Saccharomyces cerevisiae S288C: one gene and its partners. The protein of the gene in region 2 interacts with the protein of the main gene of each other region in a biochemical or structural test. Each region holds a gene or a part of one and is shown on either strand. Other genes may lie near its edges.

Region 1 (5,556 bases), on a different chromosome or scaffold from region 2:
GAGTGCCTGTTAAGGGTAACTACTCCAAACTGAGTGGACCTCGGCGGCTAAAGCTATACTTTTTCTGTTATTTAAGGGACCTAAAAATACACACAGAGTAGATTAAGATTTGGTGCACTTTTCTCAATTTATCAACTTATAAAGAACAGGCTGCCTTTCAAACATAGGACGTTTCTGTTGACCATAATGAAAATGCCCAGTATTATTCAGATTCAGTTTGTAGCCCTAAAAAGGCTTTTGGTAGAAACCAAAGAACAGATGTGCTTCGCAGTGAAAAGTATATTTCAGAGAGTATTTGCGTGGGTTATGTCATTAAGCTTGTTTTCATGGTTTTATGTAAATCTTCAGAATATTTTGATAAAAGCATTAAGGGTAGGGCCAGTGCCTGAACATGTCTCCTTTATCATGGATGGTAACCGGAGATATGCCAAGTCAAGAAGGCTACCAGTAAAAAAAGGCCATGAAGCTGGTGGGTTAACGTTACTAACACTACTGTATATCTGCAAAAGATTGGGTGTAAAATGTGTTTCCGCCTATGCATTTTCTATTGAAAATTTTAATAGACCAAAAGAAGAAGTAGATACGCTAATGAATTTGTTTACGGTAAAGCTTGATGAATTCGCAAAAAGAGCCAAGGACTATAAGGATCCCTTATACGGATCTAAAATAAGAATAGTAGGTGATCAATCTTTACTATCTCCAGAAATGAGAAAAAAAATTAAAAAAGTGGAAGAAATCACACAGGATGGAGACGATTTCACTTTATTTATATGTTTTCCTTACACTTCAAGAAATGATATGTTACATACTATTCGTGATTCAGTTGAAGACCATTTGGAAAATAAATCACCAAGGATTAATATAAGAAAATTTACTAATAAAATGTACATGGGTTTCCATTCCAATAAATGTGAATTATTAATCAGAACAAGTGGGCATAGGAGGCTCTCAGACTATATGCTATGGCAAGTACATGAAAATGCCACCATTGAATTTAGTGATACGTTGTGGCCAAATTTTAGCTTCTTTGCTATGTACCTGATGATTCTCAAATGGTCCTTCTTTTCCACCATTCAAAAATATAATGAGAAGAATCACTCATTGTTTGAAAAAATACATGAAAGCGTTCCTTCAATATTTAAAAAAAAGAAAACAGCTATGTCTTTGTACAACTTTCCAAACCCCCCCATTTCAGTTTCGGTTACAGGAGATGAATAAGTAAAAGTGCAAAACTAGAAAGCCCAAGAGAGGGCAAAGAACATTCTGAAAACTCCCTGATTCTTCCATACCTATTACCATATTACATCATTTTTAATTAGTAGTCTTTTAATTATCTATTATATCCGGTATATAAAATATCCTTGCGCCAAGTGTATAGCTAATAAAATGTAAAAAAAAAAAAAATTAGGAACAAAAAATAAAAAAAGCGAAAACAAAAAACTCCGTTAATGAATATTTCATGATCTTGTTAAACCTAGGTCATCGAAATCCCCTTGTACTTTACTCAGGTATGCTATTTTCATCCCTATTGCTTATTTCATCAGGTACGGTGGTGGATATATTAGGAGTGAACGTACTGGTAGAATTCGAAACATCAGCTGCTGTAGTAGCGGTGGCATTTAAAGAACTAGGCTCATTTGGGGTATTGACACCTGTGGTAGTATTCGTGGATCTCATATGACTTGATCCAACTTCGTGACACCAATACCTATGATATCCCCATGCTTTTAATTGACACTTTCGTGAGCAATATTTCGTTCTTTTGCATCGACGACATTTTGCAAATTGTCTTGGAAAATCTTCCCATTTTCCGCACGAAAAATTGGCACACTGACGCACACCTAAGATCTCATTTTTTCGACATGAATTTCTCATGATGACAGAACTCCAATATATAACATCATGTGTATTTTCTGCGCTCACTGTATATTTTTCGACTAAGGGGAAGATGTTTACAACATTTGTTAGTACCTTGTTTTTGTAAACAATATTTGTTAATTCCTTTTTCATTTTATCGTAGCTCCAGCGCCTTTCAAAGTTATCAGATATTTTCTTCCTTAAATTAATTCTTTCCTTGTCTTTGCCATAGGCATTGTCGTCGCTAGGTTTCGGTACACGGTAGCGCTCAAACAAATTAAGAACGGGACAGTGGTTATTACATATTTCATTTTGTTCTTCTTGTTGACATCTGTTTGAGAGTTCTTCTAATTCTTTGAAAAATGGATCCATTTTGCTAGTATCTAGTGCCTTAACTTTGGAATTGTTTTCAGGATTTTTCGATAAATAAGGATATAATGAAGACAATTTTACAGTTACGTCTCTTTCTTGTTCTTCTAAGTCATTCTCTTCTGAGATTCTCTGTTTAATTTTGTAAGCCATACTTCTGAACGATAGGGATTCAACCAGCTCAACATTTTGAAGGGTTGATTTCATATATGTATACTTCGAAACAAAAGCTAATAACTGAAGCGACCATATAACGTCGTCTTGTTTGGGGACAATTCTTCCGAGAAAAAATTCACGTGGAGTGGAAATTGTAGGTCTATTAATGTCTGGTTGCGAAAAGAAATTCTTATGTGCATCAAAATTTTCACTTTCTACTTCACTATCAATATCAATGTCGTCGTCGTGTCTTTCCTGGTCAGGTTCAAAATTGCTAGCTAGGTCTGCAAACCGGCCCCATATATCACTAAAATCAGTTGGAATTGTCATAGACGGTGCCACTAATCGTTCGTTTAGAAAATTTTTGTCAGTTGACAACTTCAATTTATCCTGACCTGTAATGAACTCTATATACTGCTGATATGTTTCATTCTCATCTTTTCTCATGAATTTATACATTGTCTCCGTGGTTATCCCTTTGAAGTCAAAGGTCATTGTTTGATCTTTGATGAAGTCGTAATTTTTATGATATAGTAAATAGTTATCCAATACTGTGACCAGCACAGATAAGACCCCAGACATTACCACTTTTTTACGAATTTGTTCTGTCCCTCTAGTACCTGTCAATACTAAGCACTGAAATGTTAAAGTCCATTTCCAAGCGCATAGTGCTAGTCTTTTCTCCTTCCATAGATCCTTTATGTTTTCGTGCTCATTAAAATTTTCTAAATCCAAATCCAGCAACTCAAACAAACTTAAATGACAACTCCTCAATATTGAGACTAATCTTTCGAGAGCACCGTCGTTAGCTACCGTTTCCCTAACTTTTGATGAATTAGAGGTTAGATATGTTAAGTAGTTTAGGGAGTTTATTAACGGAATACTAGAGTTGATATCCAATGCCCTTCGGTCATAGACAGTAGATGTTATTGTTACTATAGGCTTGTTCGACGTTAATGATCGATGATTAGAGTCTCTCATTTCTTTACCTTTTCTTTGTTTTGAATATTTCAAATTACGTTCTATACGCTGTTATGATATGTTAATATAGCAAAAACAAACAAAAACTCCCAGGGAAATGAATTGAAAAATGCAACAAATAGGGACCTCACCTTTGTATAATGGAAGATTCCCAAGTTTCACTTATAGTTGATCAATGGGTATGATGAAATTAGCAAAGTAAAAAAGGGAATGTTTAATGGTTCAACTTAGATAAATGGAAGGTTGAATATGAGAACCAACAAAAATAAAAAATAAATAAAGTCTCAAATTATCTATATCGCTCTAATGAGGAAGTCACTGTGCACACTTACAGAAACTATATAAAAAACGGATATTTTTCTCTTCAGGTAGGGAAGTTTGTCCAGCACTTTCTTCCTTGTGAGCTGCTCTAGGTCTTTCGTTTGTATAGGCCGACCATCAATAACCCAACTCTCAAATTTTGCCACTGAACACCCATACAATACATAACCAAAGTATTCTAGTTGTTATCCTAGCTCGATGCATTGTTGTAGTAGGCCTAATAAGAAGATAGTTCAACCAAGAAAAATAGTCAAAAGGCTTTTTGCCGTTTGAACCATCATAAACTTATGGAAGCCATCTAAATAATTTTCCTTTTTCCTGGTTCCTTTCTATGTATCCAAAGATATATATTAAGTAGCCCACTTCTAGCCAACTTCTAGCCCACTTCTTAGGTAGTAACTATACGCAGCTGCTCCAGGAGGGAAAGAAAAAACCAACGGTCTATATTGTAATAACTATTAGTTTTCTTTCTCTTTCCGTGGGCTTCAACGGCCTTTATATAGCTCTTATTATTCGGAGTTGCTATTGGCGGCTAATATCTTGCGAAAAACGTGAGAATATGAACTTTAAAGTACACATGACTCGATTACTGATAACAAAATTGAGAGGGAAATACATAAGTCAAAATAATAAATGTCTGATGGACCATCTAACAGTTCACCTCGATCTACATATATTTCAATGCGAGAATGATTAATTCTTGCCATTGACAAACAACCCTTTTACTGCCAGCGCCTTTCATAACCATGTAGTTTTATATGCCTAATTATAATAAAGCATGACATATAATGCCAACCCCATATTTATATAGTTAACTTGAAACCGAGATTCATCTATTGCACCAGGAAAAGTGCCTTCTTCTTAAAACATAAGTTACGTCCCGACCATTCATCTAAACGGCATCAATCATTGCAGCAGAAGAAATAGTGTGTAGATGTCCTCGTTCGCTAGACGCAGTCAATGATAACAAGGTCTTTCTTCAAGCTGTCTTTCCATAAAAAGGTATCGCAAATGGGGTCACCAATGCGCCTTTTATTTTTCACGCCGAAAGAAAACTTAGTAGGTCCCTAGAAATGAATAAAGAGGTGATTCTGAGGTTCATTATAAGCCTTTGGTAAAACTTGAACCAAGAAAGATTAAAACACAAAGCCATGCCTATCAAAGAAACTGATAAAGAAGTTGTTTTGACTCATCCAGCTGATGAGACCACCAGCGTTCATATTCTAAAGTACGGTGCTACAGTTTATTCTTGGAAATTGAAATCTGAAGAACAGTTGTGGTTGTCTACTGCTGCTAAATTGGATGGTAGCAAACCTGTGAGAGGTGGTATACCTTTGGTCTTTCCTGTATTCGGGAAAAATAGCACCGATGAACATTTGAGTAAATTACCTCAACATGGTCTTGCAAGAAATTCTACTTGGGAGTTTTTGGGTCAAACTAAGGAAAACCCACCGACCGTACAATTTGGCTTGAAACCAGAAATTGCTAACCCAGAATTGACCAAATTGTGGCCAATGGATTATCTTTTGATTTTGACTGTTGAATTAGGCTCCGATTATTTGAAAACTGCCATAGAAGTAGAAAACACATCTAGTTCCAAGGAATTAAAGTTCAACTGGTTGTTCCATACATACTTCCGTATCGAAGATATTGAAGGAACAATGGTCTCTAATTTAGCTGGCATGAAACTTTATGACCAACTGTTGAAGGAATCCTACGTCGACAAGCACCCAGTCGTTACCTTCAATCAAGAAACCGATGTAATTTATCAGAATGTCAGCGCCGAACGGGCCATTCAAATAGTTGACAAGGGCGTTCAAATTCACACTCTAAAAAGATACAACTTGCCCGACACTGTTGTTTGGAATCCAT
Region 2 (8,844 bases):
CCTTGCTTCAGGTCTATCAAAGCGAGGCGACCAATTCATAAACACACCAAATACACCCAGCGCCAGAGAAATACTCATGTAAGTGTACATCGCCCAGTAACATGAATACATGGTAACAAACTCCGTTGTCAATATCGAAGCTGTAATTAAGATCGTAATACCGCTATAGTCGACACACGCAAATTTAGAACGTAGCTTCAAGAAGGACGTTCCGTTGAAAGTATGCCAAAACACGGAGCTTAGCATACATTTCAACGCAGCTGCCAAAAACATGAAAACAATCCATCTAGCCTGTGGTGGAACCTGGGAATTCCGCCAAACTTCAGACTGAGGGAAATCGTAAATTGCCAAGTAGATTATATAAATGGCTCCTAACAAATGAGACCAAATATTTGAAGTTTCATTATGCCAGCCGTACCAGTTAAAGATAGACAACAAAGATTTGGAATGGGTATTGTAAAACCTATAGCCATGGATTATGTATCTGTTTTCCCTCCATGGGAATGGCAACTGATAATAATGTAAATGTTGAGTTTCACCTAGACTATACGCTTTGCCATGGTTGTATGAGTTTATAAAAGACTTGATATCGGTAGTAGGATTCAAAGGTTCTTCAATGAGGATTTCCGTCTTTACCATGGATTTTCTCATTGGACCGCAATAGTCTTTCACGCTGGAAATATAATTGTTTTCCTCTTTGATTTTTGTATCATTGAGACGACTTGTTGGGGAACGTAACGAGGACTTCGCTTGAGAACATACAGTTGAAGATGAAGACACCAGTGAAGTGGATGTAGAAGCATTGTTAAGCTTGAAAGTAGCGACTGAATTCACCAAAGTGGCTGCATCTGAATCTCCCAGTGAAAACTGAGATTCTGTATTCAGAGACTTGCCACTGTTTCTTTTGTACACAGAACTTGTTACTTCCTTTTCTTTTGTTGGACGAATTATCTCCAAATCATCATACCGCCCACTTTCAGAGTGTTTAACACTTTCATCAATAGTTGAAAATGGATGAGGAACGAATTTTGAGTAGTTGTAATTATAGATGGATTTACCGGATTTTTTCACCTTCTGAAAATTGTCCACACCCTTCTGCTTTAGCCTTGATAGAGATCCCATGGGTGAGGGTATATACTGAGTTAAGCTTTTGCTTGACGAGTCCATCATGTACTTAATTTGATTGTCTGTTGGGATGTGAACTATTTTTCAGCTTATCTGCGTTGCAGCTTCTTCTTTGTCCACTTTACAATGGCTAAACTTTACCAGACGACAAAACAAGTGTAGAATTTGAATCAACTGTGTCCTAAAGAAAAAATAATGTCCAAAAACTCTTATTATAAAACGAGTAAACCACCACTTCGCTCGAATCGCCAAGCTTTCTAGATGTACACCCACGCTGTGTCACCTTATGACTATATACCTTATCCATCAACACTTTCTCCATTTCCTGCAGGGTAAAAAGAAAAGTGAAGTCACCCTGCACTATACGAGCTTCAGCCCATACCCCACACTAAAACATTTCTTTTTCTGCGGCATTTCTTTTTTTTTCGGTCCGTCCCTGTCCCTTCCCACGAGAAAGCGTAATGATCCTCGACCCTACCCCACTTCCCCACGCCAATTAAAACAGATAAAATTTCTTTTGATTTTTCGGATACGCTAATTTCGTAGCAATTTTGAATGACTAGACATTTGTTGGATAACTACATAGTCTCCCACCCACCAAGATCTGCACTGCCGTCCGTTAGTCGGAACACTATGTGCGGAATCATGTTGCCAAAAACAATCTCATTCGCTAGATTCGCGTATCTCGCCCGATTCAAATAGACGGGAGTACCGAATTTGTAGTCTTCGTTGGTCTCTCCGTATTTACTTAGATAAGGTGCAGCATAAAATGTACCTCTTTTGCCGTATGACAGATATATCGCATTTGTGCCGGTCATTAAGAAAACTCCGTAAGCGGAGGTGATTTCGCATCCATTTCTCATATGATCAGTACATTCCCCCTGTAAATAACCTTGCAGTGCTATGCTTTTTTGAATATGGCATTTTTGGCCACACAACAAGCATACTGCGATTTCGTATTTATCACATTTATTCGATATTTCATCATTATCAAGGGAAAATTTGGAAAGGTTCAATGGTAGTTCGATAAGCTGGATATGCTCTGGTGAAGGATATGCTCTTGTGTTTATGTTCTGCACCATGTCATATATTACTTGCTGAATTCTCAAATTATCATTACCATCATTATACCTTTCTATATTTTGTGTTAGTTCGTTGTAGAAAAAATCCTTCAAAAAGTGAGTTAAATTGGGTAATTTAAAATACCGGAAAATAAGCTCTATTTCACGCTGTTTGACGTCCATGAAATTATTGCTGCGGTTATTATTATTATCACCATCACCATCATCATCATACTGAATGTTGAATAATAAGAAGGTTCTTCTACAAAAAATGGACAATGACTCTAGTAATAGAGAGCATATAAAGTCTTTAATTTTCTCTAAACTTGTAAAATCAAACCGAACGTCGTCTGGTTTAAAGAGATCAACATACTTTTTAAAAGTATTGAATAGATATGAAAAGCTTGTCGATGGTTCCTCAGATCCGTTTGATGATATTTTGATTTTATTTCGACAGTCTTTGTAAAAGTTTACTCTCATCATATCTCTTGCAAGCAACAGTAGTAGTTGATGGAACCTTCTTTTGAACATTTCATAGATACATAGGTTAGGCGGTTGCGGGGTTTTTCCTCCATCAATATTATCAAAATTTTGACTCATATACAAAAGTAGATTCACATTATTACCCTTTATTAGAAACTCATTCCAATTCCATATTTTACGAGAGATTTCGCTGCTGAATGTTTTTGAATTAACAAATTTTTTGTAAATAAACGACTTTAGCTCACAAACTAAATGTAAGGTTAAAATGCACTGACTGGATATTCTTTCCATATTCACTATTTTTCCTTCCTTTTTGTGCGATCTTAATCTGAGCTCAGTATTTGAAATAGTATTAATAAAAACACTATTAACAACTTTATATGCATCTTCGATAGTCGTGACTTTTTTACCCTGAAGATCACCTAGAATCATCGCTGCTTTAATACAAATAGAGCTCATTGGGTCAAGGTTTTCTTCCGCTTCACTTCGCTTTTCAATACACATAAAAAACTGGCTCGAAGTTCTCTTATCTATATCATTTGTTTTTGGTAGAAATGAATTACTTAAGGAATTGCATACGGGACAATATATCAACCCTGAACCATACGATAATGGAATATTTTTTGTAGTTTGGTTTTGTATTCCGCGAATCGACTTCATATGGCCACTTAAACATTTGGTATGAGACCCATGCCCGCATGCTCTTAATACTGGTTCACAGCTAGTAAATTTCAATCTCGTTCCATCATCATCCTGGGGGTTTTCTTGGATTGCACTGTCTTTTGTTTGCTTACCACTGAACAGCGAATTTATTCTATTAACATCTGTAGGATTCGTAAAATCAATTCCATGATCACATATGTTCCGTTCTTGGTATGAAAAATAAACAAATACATCGTCATCCTTCGGCATCTTGCAAAATACGCAATCATCATCGCAGCAACTGTTGATTGTGTTACTACTATTCTCTGCATTTATTCTAGTGGGAGATAAACTAGGTGATGTGGTTCTGGGTGTACTAATATCGGAAGTATCTACACTATTGTTTTCCATGAATTTCATTTGCTGTTGAGCCAACTTCTTCATTAATTTTTTCTTTCTCAATCGAGCAAGATGTTTTTTCCTTTCAAATTCTTTATCCTTGTGGCTTTTATCTTCCTTTGTAGGCCACAATATTCCTGGTGTATATGACGTGGTTTGCTCCCTCAAATAACTGTTTACATTTACGTGAGGCGCTGTTTCCATTAAATACCTGAAAATTTCCCTAATCTTACCATGAGATTCCGAAAAATTATCCTTCAACAAACAGTAATACAGGATAGAACCAATGCTGTGGTAATGACAGAATTCTGTGTCCACAATTGCGTATTCATGCCACAGTATCCCCATAAATTCATTCAGATTATTAACCACGCATAAATGAATCAAATGAACCACTCTCGGCAATAAATTGTCATAATCATATTTTATAATGTGATCTAAAGTATTTTTCAAAAATAAACCAAAAGTATTCACTGATGATATTGAATACAGCCCAGAAAATAATGTATTCTTCAACAAATCTTTAACCTTTTTTGCTGGTACAAAAGTATCTTCATATTTCATTTTCTTCAAATTTGCCATATTCAGCCTGATATTTTTCTCTACATCATACCTCCTACTGGAAGACAACCCTATATAATAAGGATCAATCTCATCTTTATACTTTTCTTTCAACACGAAAATGCCATTGTCAGTCAAGCTTACAGGAGAAGTGTAATTGGCGTATTTTTCGAGATATATATCAAATGAAGGGTGCTTGGTGATATGTTCTGGAATACAGTTAACAATTTGTGCGTAAGAGCATGTATCAAAGCAAAGGGCATGAATTATTTCTGATTTGAACGTTCTCTCGAAGCCTTCCTTTGATGATTTCATGACCAATGATCTCACTTCAGTAAGCAATTGAATCAATAACAGAATGCATTCATTAACAACGGCTACAGTTGTTTCTGTATCAGGATAATCATACATAGGTACACCATTTGCCCAGTGCTTCAAACCCCACCTTGAGAGGTAAGTAACCATCAGTTCATCAGGATTGCACATTGCCATACTAAATTGCACATTGAAAATGTCACTAATATAAGTAAATTCTCGCATACTGTATTTTGTATACATCCGGGCCTGGTGAGTAATTGGAGTTCCGTTTCTTACCCAGAAACCGACGTTTATTTGCCCGATTAGGACTAGGGTTGACAAAGCAGATTCTGATATATATAAAGCCTTCTGCTTATCTTGAAAAACTTCGAAGAGATTAATGTAGTTTGTCAAAGAAGCAGGAATTGGCTCATATCTACCACATTGACTCCATTGAATAACAAATTTGAACAAATATGACATTGGATTGAAAAAATACTGTGTATTTACACCTACCTGGAAATTAATAGTCTCTGCGACATAATTGCATATCGTCTCTCTGACTGTAGACAAAGTCGCTTTGTTCGAATCATTTTCATTCGTTGATGCGTTATCAGGTGATATAGCTTTTCTAGAATTGGTTAGTGATTCAAATTCCCTGGTTTGAGCAACATCAAGTAGTTTAAGGACGATTTGCTTACGGAAAGCCGCATCTTTGACCAAAGATATACTACGTGTGTATCCATCTGTCATTATTAGTATTGATGAGAAAAAAAAATAAAATGCAGAAAAATCAAAGTTTTCAACCTCCACGTGTTCTTTAGTTTCCCTTTTCAATGGCAGCACGTTACTGAATTCAGAGAAGGACTCAATTATTGCGTTAAAAATTGCCTCATTTGAAAGTAGTTCTTCCGGAACAGTGTTCGCTGACATTATCGTACAAAGGTCTTTAAAGCAAATAATTGTCCTTCGATTTCGTATTGTTTCGGTGGGCAACTTAAAGCCATTGTATAAAGAGATGGGCAAATATGACATCAAGTCTTCTGGATTGAATGCCATGAGAGTAAAAGCAAATCTAATAGTTCGTTCAATGAATCCCGAGCTTATAGTCATATTTGCTATGCTGGGGTCTTGGAAAGTGTATTGCCCTAATATACTCATAAGAGTTACCTGACATTCTTTAGCATCTGATGCAACTGCATCATACAAGACCGATAGATAAACATCAATATATTGTGCGGCAAGAAACTTTCTGCTTTCATCCCTTAACGAGAATAATGACGCCATGATCTTTAACATTTTGAATTTAGATTTTTTTGAGAGGATATTAATAGAATTGATGATAATATATTGGAATCTAGATCCATAGAAATTGTAGAAATGGCTTACTGTGTTCGGCGAATGGGCTCTGATCAACCTTTCATTGTAATTAGTGAGTATTTTTGAAATTCTTTCGTCTTCAATGTTCTCTAATGACCAAGGTTTAAACCATGATTCATCACTATCTTCGTTAGATATTAAGAATCCACCTAATAAGTTAATCTTAGAAAAGTCAGGATTGGTATTTGTGGGAGATACTCTCATTTTAGAAAAATGGGAATACCAAACATCTAGCATGGAAATTCTAAGAGCATATTTATTTTGCAAAGACGTGGCCGCCTTAAAGCACAGAGAATATAACCAATCTGTTAAATCATCTGTTAACTTTCTCTTGAATATATCATCCGCTTTTCTTACATGAACTACTATGTTTTCCTTTTGAAACTCCTTGGCTATTTGATCTATTTCGAAAAAATTCTCACTTTGTAGCACAGTCACTACATCGTGTGAATCTTCTAAAGCCTTCGTTATTGAGATTGCATATTCAACCGGTGTATTCAAAATTCTTGTTATTGTAGATGCTAAATCCATGTAGTGTACGTTACACTCTTCTTCTTCGATTTGAATAGCCCACTCCATATGTGCTTCTTTTCTCGTATTGGACCAATTGTTATCAAAGAAAACAAAATTTTCATCATTGACCAATGGTTCACATTCGTGTTTTTCCATTATATCATCAGTAATGCTGTTTTGATTAGGATGCATTAGGGAGGATGCTTTTCTCTCGCTTGAATGGGCTTCTGCCTCCTCTTTGTATGAAACAGTTACATCAATTAAAAAATCCAGAACATAATTCAATAGGGAGATTACGTTTTCATCATCGGTTACGTTACTATTGTCGTTAGAAATAGGAATATTATTTAATTCGTTCTTGCACTTGAACGCGTCGCTTGGGTCATTAAAGGCAAAGGGGTCACCACAATGGCATATTCTGCCTTCTGGGCGCATTACCACTTTAGCAACATAAGAATGATTTACATGTTTTTCTTTATCGAAACAAAGCTCACATATTTCATACAATGGATTTGTGGAGCACGTAAAACAGTAATAAATTGTCTCAGAGGGGAAGCATAAACGCGTACACGCTGTTCCAATATGCATATTACCCACAGAGTGGTGGTCATTCTCGAACTCCAGGGTCCTCCACTTTCTTCCATTTAGTATGTCTCTGTACTTTTCGTTTTCCCAGGCTTCAGAATTGAGTATTGAAACGAGAGAGCGCCAGTTTATATCGTTATCACTATGCTTAAGGCGTAGATTTAAGGTTTTCCATAGTAAATAACTAGTGGTTTCGCTATATTCGCATTTCGCGAGTTTGGGGAGCTCGGTAAGAAAATCTCTTATATTGGTTATAGACAGGTCAGAATCTTCCATGCGTGCTTGTTAAGTAGCTATTAATTTAGTTAACGAATCTTACCTTTACTATCAGAGACGAGTAAATGATAATAATTAGAAAAAAAAGCCGGCTCTTTTTTTTAAAAAGCTTGAGCAACTTTTTTTTTTTATAGAGTTGTTAGTAATATGCCAAGCAATTGAAAGTATGAATGCGTTGATTATTGGGTTTCTCCCCACAGCTGTACATTGACGATGCTCTTTATTGATATCGCCTAAAAGTTCAACAAACGCCACTGGAAATTGCCGCCGTTGTCACCACAACGTGATAAGTGATGGTGTGCTTTTTGCACATCTAGTGAAGAAACGGGCAATTAGGATCTAGGACCAGTAACACTTGCCCCGCAAATATTATAACATGGGCCTTATGATTGCTCGGTTTGTTACATCTAACATCCTAAGAAGTGAGTGGCATGAATACGTAGCTATATGTAGATTGAAAATTGATGAGTCGAGTCATCACCTTCCTCTAAACGGGGGATAAATTTTGGCGGTATTTTCCCTAATTTTATTCTTCGTTATGTCAGCCATGTGAGACTAATTAATTCAAGTTTTGACTTACAATTGCGGCTTCGTCGGAAATCAGTATTACGTATAAACTGTGTACCATAAAATTGGCGTACTCGGTATTGTTTATACTAAGCCGGCCATTCTAGTGATTTCGCCTCTATAAATGGTTGTTATTCGAGTATAATATTTCAACCGCATCAAAGAAAGAGGTAGATAGCTTGCGTTCAACACCGTTCTTTTCTTTCCCCCTTAATTTAGCGCTTGGCGGTTATGCTATGGTGACAGTTAACTTTTTTAATTATAGGATGACTTGTCATATTGTTATATGCCGCATACTTATGTAAAGTAGTTATTGAGGTGGGGGTGAGCAGAGTAACGACAACGATGGAGTTCCGTAACTAACCAATGCTTAATGTTGGTAAGTAATAGCAAATATATATACTACATAGCTTTTGTTATATGCATCATTTTATACGATTCATGTTCGACCCTTTTGATAAAAGATGGGATTTTTAAATAAGTCGGTGGGTGATTTCGAATCATGAATAGTTGGCAGAGCAGGGGAAGTACGAGCTTCTAAAGGGTAAGATATTGTATTTCGGACGGAAGCAGCAGAAACATAACAGTATTGATAAATAAGGCATGTGGTCATCACTTTTTGGTTGGACATCAAGTAATGCCAAGAATAAAGAGTCACCAACAAAGGCCATAGTGCGGTTGAGGGAGCATATCAACCTTCTATCCAAAAAGCAATCGCATTTACGTACTCAAATTACAAATCAAGAGAATGAAGCTAGAATCTTTTTGACGAAGGGCAATAAAGTAATGGCGAAGAATGCACTTAAAAAGAAGAAGACAATCGAACAACTTTTAAGTAAGGTAGAAGGCACAATGGAGTCTATGGAACAGCAGCTATTCTCTATAGAAAGTGCAAACTTAAATCTAGAGACAATGAGGGCTATGCAGGAAGGTGCTAAGGCAATGAAAACTATTC
Region 3 (5,457 bases), on a different chromosome or scaffold from region 2:
AAACATCATTATTTTTCTCCATTTCTGTTTGAAGATCAATTAGCTTAGGTGCTTTTTCAGGTGCAAAGGATTCATCAATAGGCACACAGACATTCCCCGTAGCAGGATGAATACAAAAAGGGGCCTTTAACAAATGAATTGTTTGCTTTGTAACTTCCACATCCAGCTTCGGATAAAGAGTCATCAATACGAGATCTTCCTTACATTCACGTAACTTAATTATGTGAGAGTCTTGCTTGGGGCCTTTGAAGAGCGATGTAGCTATCTGATCTATATCATTCCACTTCTCTTTGCTTGACCTCCTTGGATTGTCCAGCCAATACTTCTTTAATGAATCAATCAATTGTTTATCATATAATGCAGGCAATAAAGTTTGGATAGCATGTTGGTCATCTTCCCAAGGATTTTGCTCTTCGAGCATAATGCTGACAAAGAAAGGTTTCAATTGCTCCAAAGAACGAGCAAGATGAGGGTGATAAGGCCTCTTCAAAGCCAATCGCTTGTCAGTATTTCTGTCTCTAATCACGTTGACATAATCTAAAACGTTTCTTCGTTGTACATCCGTCAAAGCCCGTGCCCGTTTGTCGCTTACCCAACAATGAGCACCACGTCTACCTGAAAATACCCAGATGAAGTCCTTATAACCAAAATCCTCTCTTAGGGCCGTGTTCGTAATTTTCATTGCCAAAGATATAAATTTCCAGCACTTAGAGCAAACTTGGGCTCCGGAGCAACACGTTCTGAAGGCATCGTAATCATCCATATCAATATCAAACACCAACTCCTTCTCTAAAGCTTTCAATTCGCTTTTTAATAGAGTATCACGTTCTCTTGGCGGTTTGTTATATATGGCACCGATTTCAAATCTGTCTGGGTTGGCTTTTTCTATTTGTGCTTTGAAATCTTGCACAGAGTTAAAAGAATTATACCTTTTGTAAGCACCTGACCTGAACGCCATAGCGAATTCTCTGTTAATCATATCCCTAGAAGGTTTGGGCGAATGATTCAGCCAGTTGAAAATGTGTTTGAATGGATAGAGCGACTTATAGTAGTACTCCATGTCTGAGGAGCTTGGCCCATTAGTCTTTACTGAATTGGTCATGATGTTTATAAAACAGTTTTTTGAGTTGCTAAAACTAATTTTTGCTAGTATTATGGCACGCTTTTCTCTTCAGCTTCAAAGTATTTTTGATTAATTTTTTATCTTTTTGGCGTTATGAAACTTTTCAACTGAAAGAAAACAATAGGTAAAAGTGGCAAAGGGCACTGACCGAGCAACTGTTTCGAAACTCACGCATCATTCACACGTAGGATATAGTAATGGTTGAACCAGCAAGGAAAAAGCAGAGGATTGATCGCGATACTCATCACACTGTGGCTGAACCAGTAACGGAAGCTAAAAATACGCTGTACGTGAGCCAGCTTAATGAAAAAATTAATATGCAACGACTGCGAGTAAACCTTTTTTTGCTCTTTGCTACGTTTGGAGAGGTACTGAAGGTTAGCATGAATTTCAAGAAACAGCGGGGCCAAGCCTTTATCACCATGAGAACCATCGACCAGGCCAGTCTGGCCCAGATTTCATTAAACGGCGAGCGATTCTTTGGTAAGCCTTTGAAAGTTGAGTTCAGCAAGAGTGAAACTAAAACACTATGACTGGCTTAACGCTCTATTCATAGCAGCACGTATATACCGAGAAGAGCTGCCATAGGGGCACATCAAAGTCAAGAGCGCAGAACCAAACCAAAATGTTTATATCCAAACAACCCGGCGTTATAGATGGTCGTCAACGGACAAATAATATCAAGGCATGTATCAATATGGAGTAGATATAGAATCTACAAAAATCTGTAGCAGAAAGAGTCTCCCGAAAAGACATACTGCAGAACGGCCGCTTATTCCTCACTTCAATTGCTTAAATAATACAAAGGGCAAACCACAGAGTACCCCATTGCCAAAAGACGTTTATTACATTTTGGAAGTGATAATTTAGTATATAAGACAGCTTACTATATGATGAATTACAGTGTAGTTCAGCGTTTATATGTGGCTTCGTTTAAAATGATATATATTTCTAGTAAAAGCAAAAATTCACAAATGATAAACAAATCAAAATAAACATCAAAAGAACCGCCAATTGATAAAAGCACAAAGTACCAGGCAGAGTTGTGAAACCGGGCCTCTTCTATTGTACCACACACAAATTTTTCTTTATTTAGGTAGAGGATGAGTCTGGAACCCACACAAACGGTCTCCGGTACGCCGCCGATGCTGCATCAAAGAACACACAAACAAGTATACCCATTGCGGATGGAAACTATCCCAATATTGGAATCCGACTCCAAGGCTACTCTACAAAGCAACGAGCCCACCCAGAAAGATGAGGAGGAGACCGAATATTTTGAGAATAAACAATCCGTGTCGAATTTGAGCCCCGATTTGAAATTCAAACGACACAAGAATAAACATATCCAGGGGTTCCCTACTCTGGGCGAAAGGCTGGATAACCTGCAAGATATAAAAAAGGCCAAGAGAGTGGAGAATTTCAATTCTTCTGCGCCAATTGCTGACGACAATCATAGTGGAGATGCGACTGCAAATGCGACTGCAAATGCGACTGCAAATGCGACTGCGAATGTTAATGCAAGTGCAATGCCCGCTCCATATATGCCTTATTACTATTACTACCATCCGATGAATGCACCAACTCCTGCAATGATACCATATCCTGGATCACCAATGCATTCGATTATGCCCAACTCCTCATTACAGCCCTTTTATTCGCAACCCACTGCTGCAGGCGGTCCCGATATGACTACTCCCCAAAATATATCTTCATCACAACAATTGCTGCCAGCTCCGCAATTGTTTCCGTACGGATCATTCCATCAACAACAACTTCAGCAACCACACTACATTCAACGAACAAGGGAAAGGAAAAAATCAATCGGAAGTCAGAGAGGTAGAAGATTGTCTATGTTAGCATCTCAAGCTAATGGGGGAAGCACTATTATATCTCCGCACAAGGATATTCCTGAAGAGGATTTTTACACCGTGGTTGGAAATGCGTCTTTTGGTAAAAATTTACAAATACGACAGCTTTTCAACTGGTGTTTAATGAGATCTCTGCATAAATTGGAGTTGAAGGCTAAAAACCAAGAGGAAGAAGGGGAACTTGAACATCTGACCAAAAAATCCAAGCTCGAATCAACAAAGGCAGAAACTGATTATGTGGATCCCAAACGTCTGGCTATGGTGATAATAAAAGAGTTTGTCGATGATCTTAAAAAAGATCATATTGCGATAGATTGGGAAGATGAGGAAAAATATGAGGATGAAGATGAGGAGAAGATTCTGGATAATACTGAAAACTACGATGACACGGAACTGCGACAACTGTTTCAGGAAAACGACGACGACGACGACGACGACGATGAGGTGGACTACTCGGAAATACAGAGGTCTAGACGTAAATTTAGTGAAAGGAGAAAAGCCCTACCGAAAGAACCAAAAAAACTATTACCTAATAGCAAAAACGTGGAAAACACAAAGAATCTTAGCATTTTAACGAGCAAGGTGAACGCGATCAAAAATGAAGTGAAAGAATGGGCAGTCACTTTAGACACTTCGAGACCAGATCTTGAATGGCAAGAATTGACTTCATTCTCATCACAACCACTGGAACCGTTGTCGGATACAGAAGAGCCAGACCTTGCGATTGCAGATGTTGAGACAAAGTTAGAAACAAAAGTCGATGAGCTAAGGTACCAGTCGCATATATTAAACTCGCACTCACTAGCCTTAAACGAAATAACAAATTCAAAAGTGAATAAATTGAACATAGAAACAATGAGAAAGATCTCAAGCGAAACGGACGATGACCACTCACAAGTGATTAATCCTCAACAGCTGTTGAAGGGATTAAGTTTATCTTTCAGTAAAAAACTGGATTTATGAAATAAAAGAAAAAATCAAAAAAAAATCGGATACTTCTGCATATGTAACATTACACAGTCATACATTTATATATACATATATATACATATTAATGTATTTGAAAAAGCAAAAGAACCATTCTATCCTTAGTTAAAGGGCGAATCAGTAGCAGCGCTACCACTATTGTTATTGTTTTCGTTTGCTGTCATGGTATCGTGGTGGTAAATAATACTTTCTTGAAGTGATAATGTTGATGACGATGCTGCTGAAGGGCTACCCATATCTAAAGATTTGAACAGCTGGAGTGGGCGTTCCAATAACCCATTTGAATGTTCATTGTATACCTGTAATCTTGTCATATGACTTTTCCAGACGGAGCTATTATCTGCTAATAAAATTATCCTGTCACGGGCAACATGTTCAATAAGCGTACACCATACGTGAGACAATTGTTCAATGCATTTATCGTAGTAGTAATTATTACTAGCTAATTCAAATCTGGGCAATTTGATAACTAATTCCGTGCAAATGTCTAAGAATTTTAATGATGCGTGCAAATTTTCCAAACGTGGTGGAATGTTATCCAGTATGAAATCCACCAAACAGTTTAAGAACTCCAGAATTTGAGGTTTCATTCTCACGAAAGCATAGTCATCTAATTTATTACTCTCATAAGACCTATTGTAAGGTATGCTCTGGTAAACGGCTTCTGATTTTTGTTTCAACATGTCCAGACACTTTTGTATACTGAAGTCTAATCCGATGACTCTCGTATGTACGCTTTGTTGTATTTCTGGATGTTTTGTCATCAAATCCACCAACAACTGCTGTAATTGGTTCTTGTTCATTAGTTCCATGCCTCGTTGCAAGGGCAGAGGCTGCCCTCTGATGAGCGATCCTGGCTGAGGCCTCCTCTTGGAGACGCCCCCATATTTCATCACATTCTTGTTACGAGGTAGTTCTTCCTCTTCTTGCTCCTCGTTGGCATACCGCCTTTTTTGTTTCACTCCAGCAGTTGGAATCATTACATTGCCTGTGCCTTGTGAACTGACTGTACTCTGTGTTATTTTACTGCTGGGTTTAAAACCCCATTCAAACCCCATCATAATGCTATACTGTCCTGTGTTTGTTGCTTTTGCCAGGTACCTTCGAACACACTAAGTGAGAATACTTGGTTAAGTATATTTTTAAGTAAGAAATTCCCACTCGCCGCATTATCACCCGCCCGCCGTTTCTTTTTCTGGCAAAATTTTCACTATGAATAACTAAAGAGATACATTCGATGGGCTTTAGATGAGGCCTTTTGAAGACCAAAACAGCACCAAATAGCGACACATTAAGCGTAATGGAACCTCAAGAAGAGTTTATAACTACCGAAGAAGTTGAGCAGGAGATTGTGCCCACTGTGGAGGTCGAACAAGACGTTCCCGTTGATATTGAAGGAGAGAATGACGACGATGATGAAATGATGAATGATGATGAGGAAGCTTTGGAGGTCGACATGTCCAACAACTCGCTTAC

Evidence for each region.
Region 1: the proteins of UBR2 (region 2) and MUB1 form a complex in vitro, tested with the Saccharomyces cerevisiae proteins (one study listed by BioGRID).
Region 3: the proteins of UBR2 (region 2) and DSN1 form a complex in vitro, tested with the Saccharomyces cerevisiae proteins (one study listed by BioGRID).

The regions. Positions count from the first base shown.
Region 1 is NC_001145.3:464,107-469,662, reverse strand, and holds MUB1 (MYND-type zinc finger protein MUB1), read right to left. Parts: upstream 3,364-5,556; coding exon 1,501-3,363; downstream 1-1,500. Other genes in the region: SRT1 (ditrans,polycis-polyprenyl diphosphate synthase), read left to right, coding at 187-1,218; YMR099C (glucose-6-phosphate 1-epimerase), read left to right, coding at 4,836-5,556. UniProt on the Saccharomyces cerevisiae protein: Involved in the determination of the onset of polarized growth. Required for the ubiquitin-dependent degradation of RPN4. Cooperates with UBR2 to transfer ubiquitin from RAD6 to RPN4.
Region 2 is NC_001144.5:185,960-194,803, forward strand, and holds UBR2 (putative ubiquitin-protein ligase UBR2), read right to left. Parts: upstream 7,323-8,844; coding exon 1,704-7,322; downstream 1-1,703. Other genes in the region: IZH3 (Izh3p), read right to left, coding at 1-1,170; ESCRT-III subunit protein SNF7, read left to right, coding at 8,493-8,844. UniProt on the Saccharomyces cerevisiae protein: E3 ubiquitin-protein ligase which probably functions outside the N-end rule pathway, since it lacks the residues essential for the degradation of N-end rule substrates. Mediates RPN4 ubiquitination and subsequent degradation.
Region 3 is NC_001141.2:373,205-378,661, forward strand, and holds DSN1 (MIND complex subunit DSN1), read left to right. Parts: upstream 1-2,226; coding exon 2,227-3,957; downstream 3,958-5,457. Other genes in the region: DNA primase subunit PRI1, read right to left, coding at 1-1,102; U2 snRNP complex subunit MSL1, read left to right, coding at 1,321-1,656; STS1 (Sts1p), read right to left, coding at 4,083-5,042; SQT1 (Sqt1p), read left to right, coding at 5,282-5,457. UniProt on the Saccharomyces cerevisiae protein: Acts as an essential component of the kinetochore MIND complex, which is required for the spindle checkpoint and kinetochore integrity.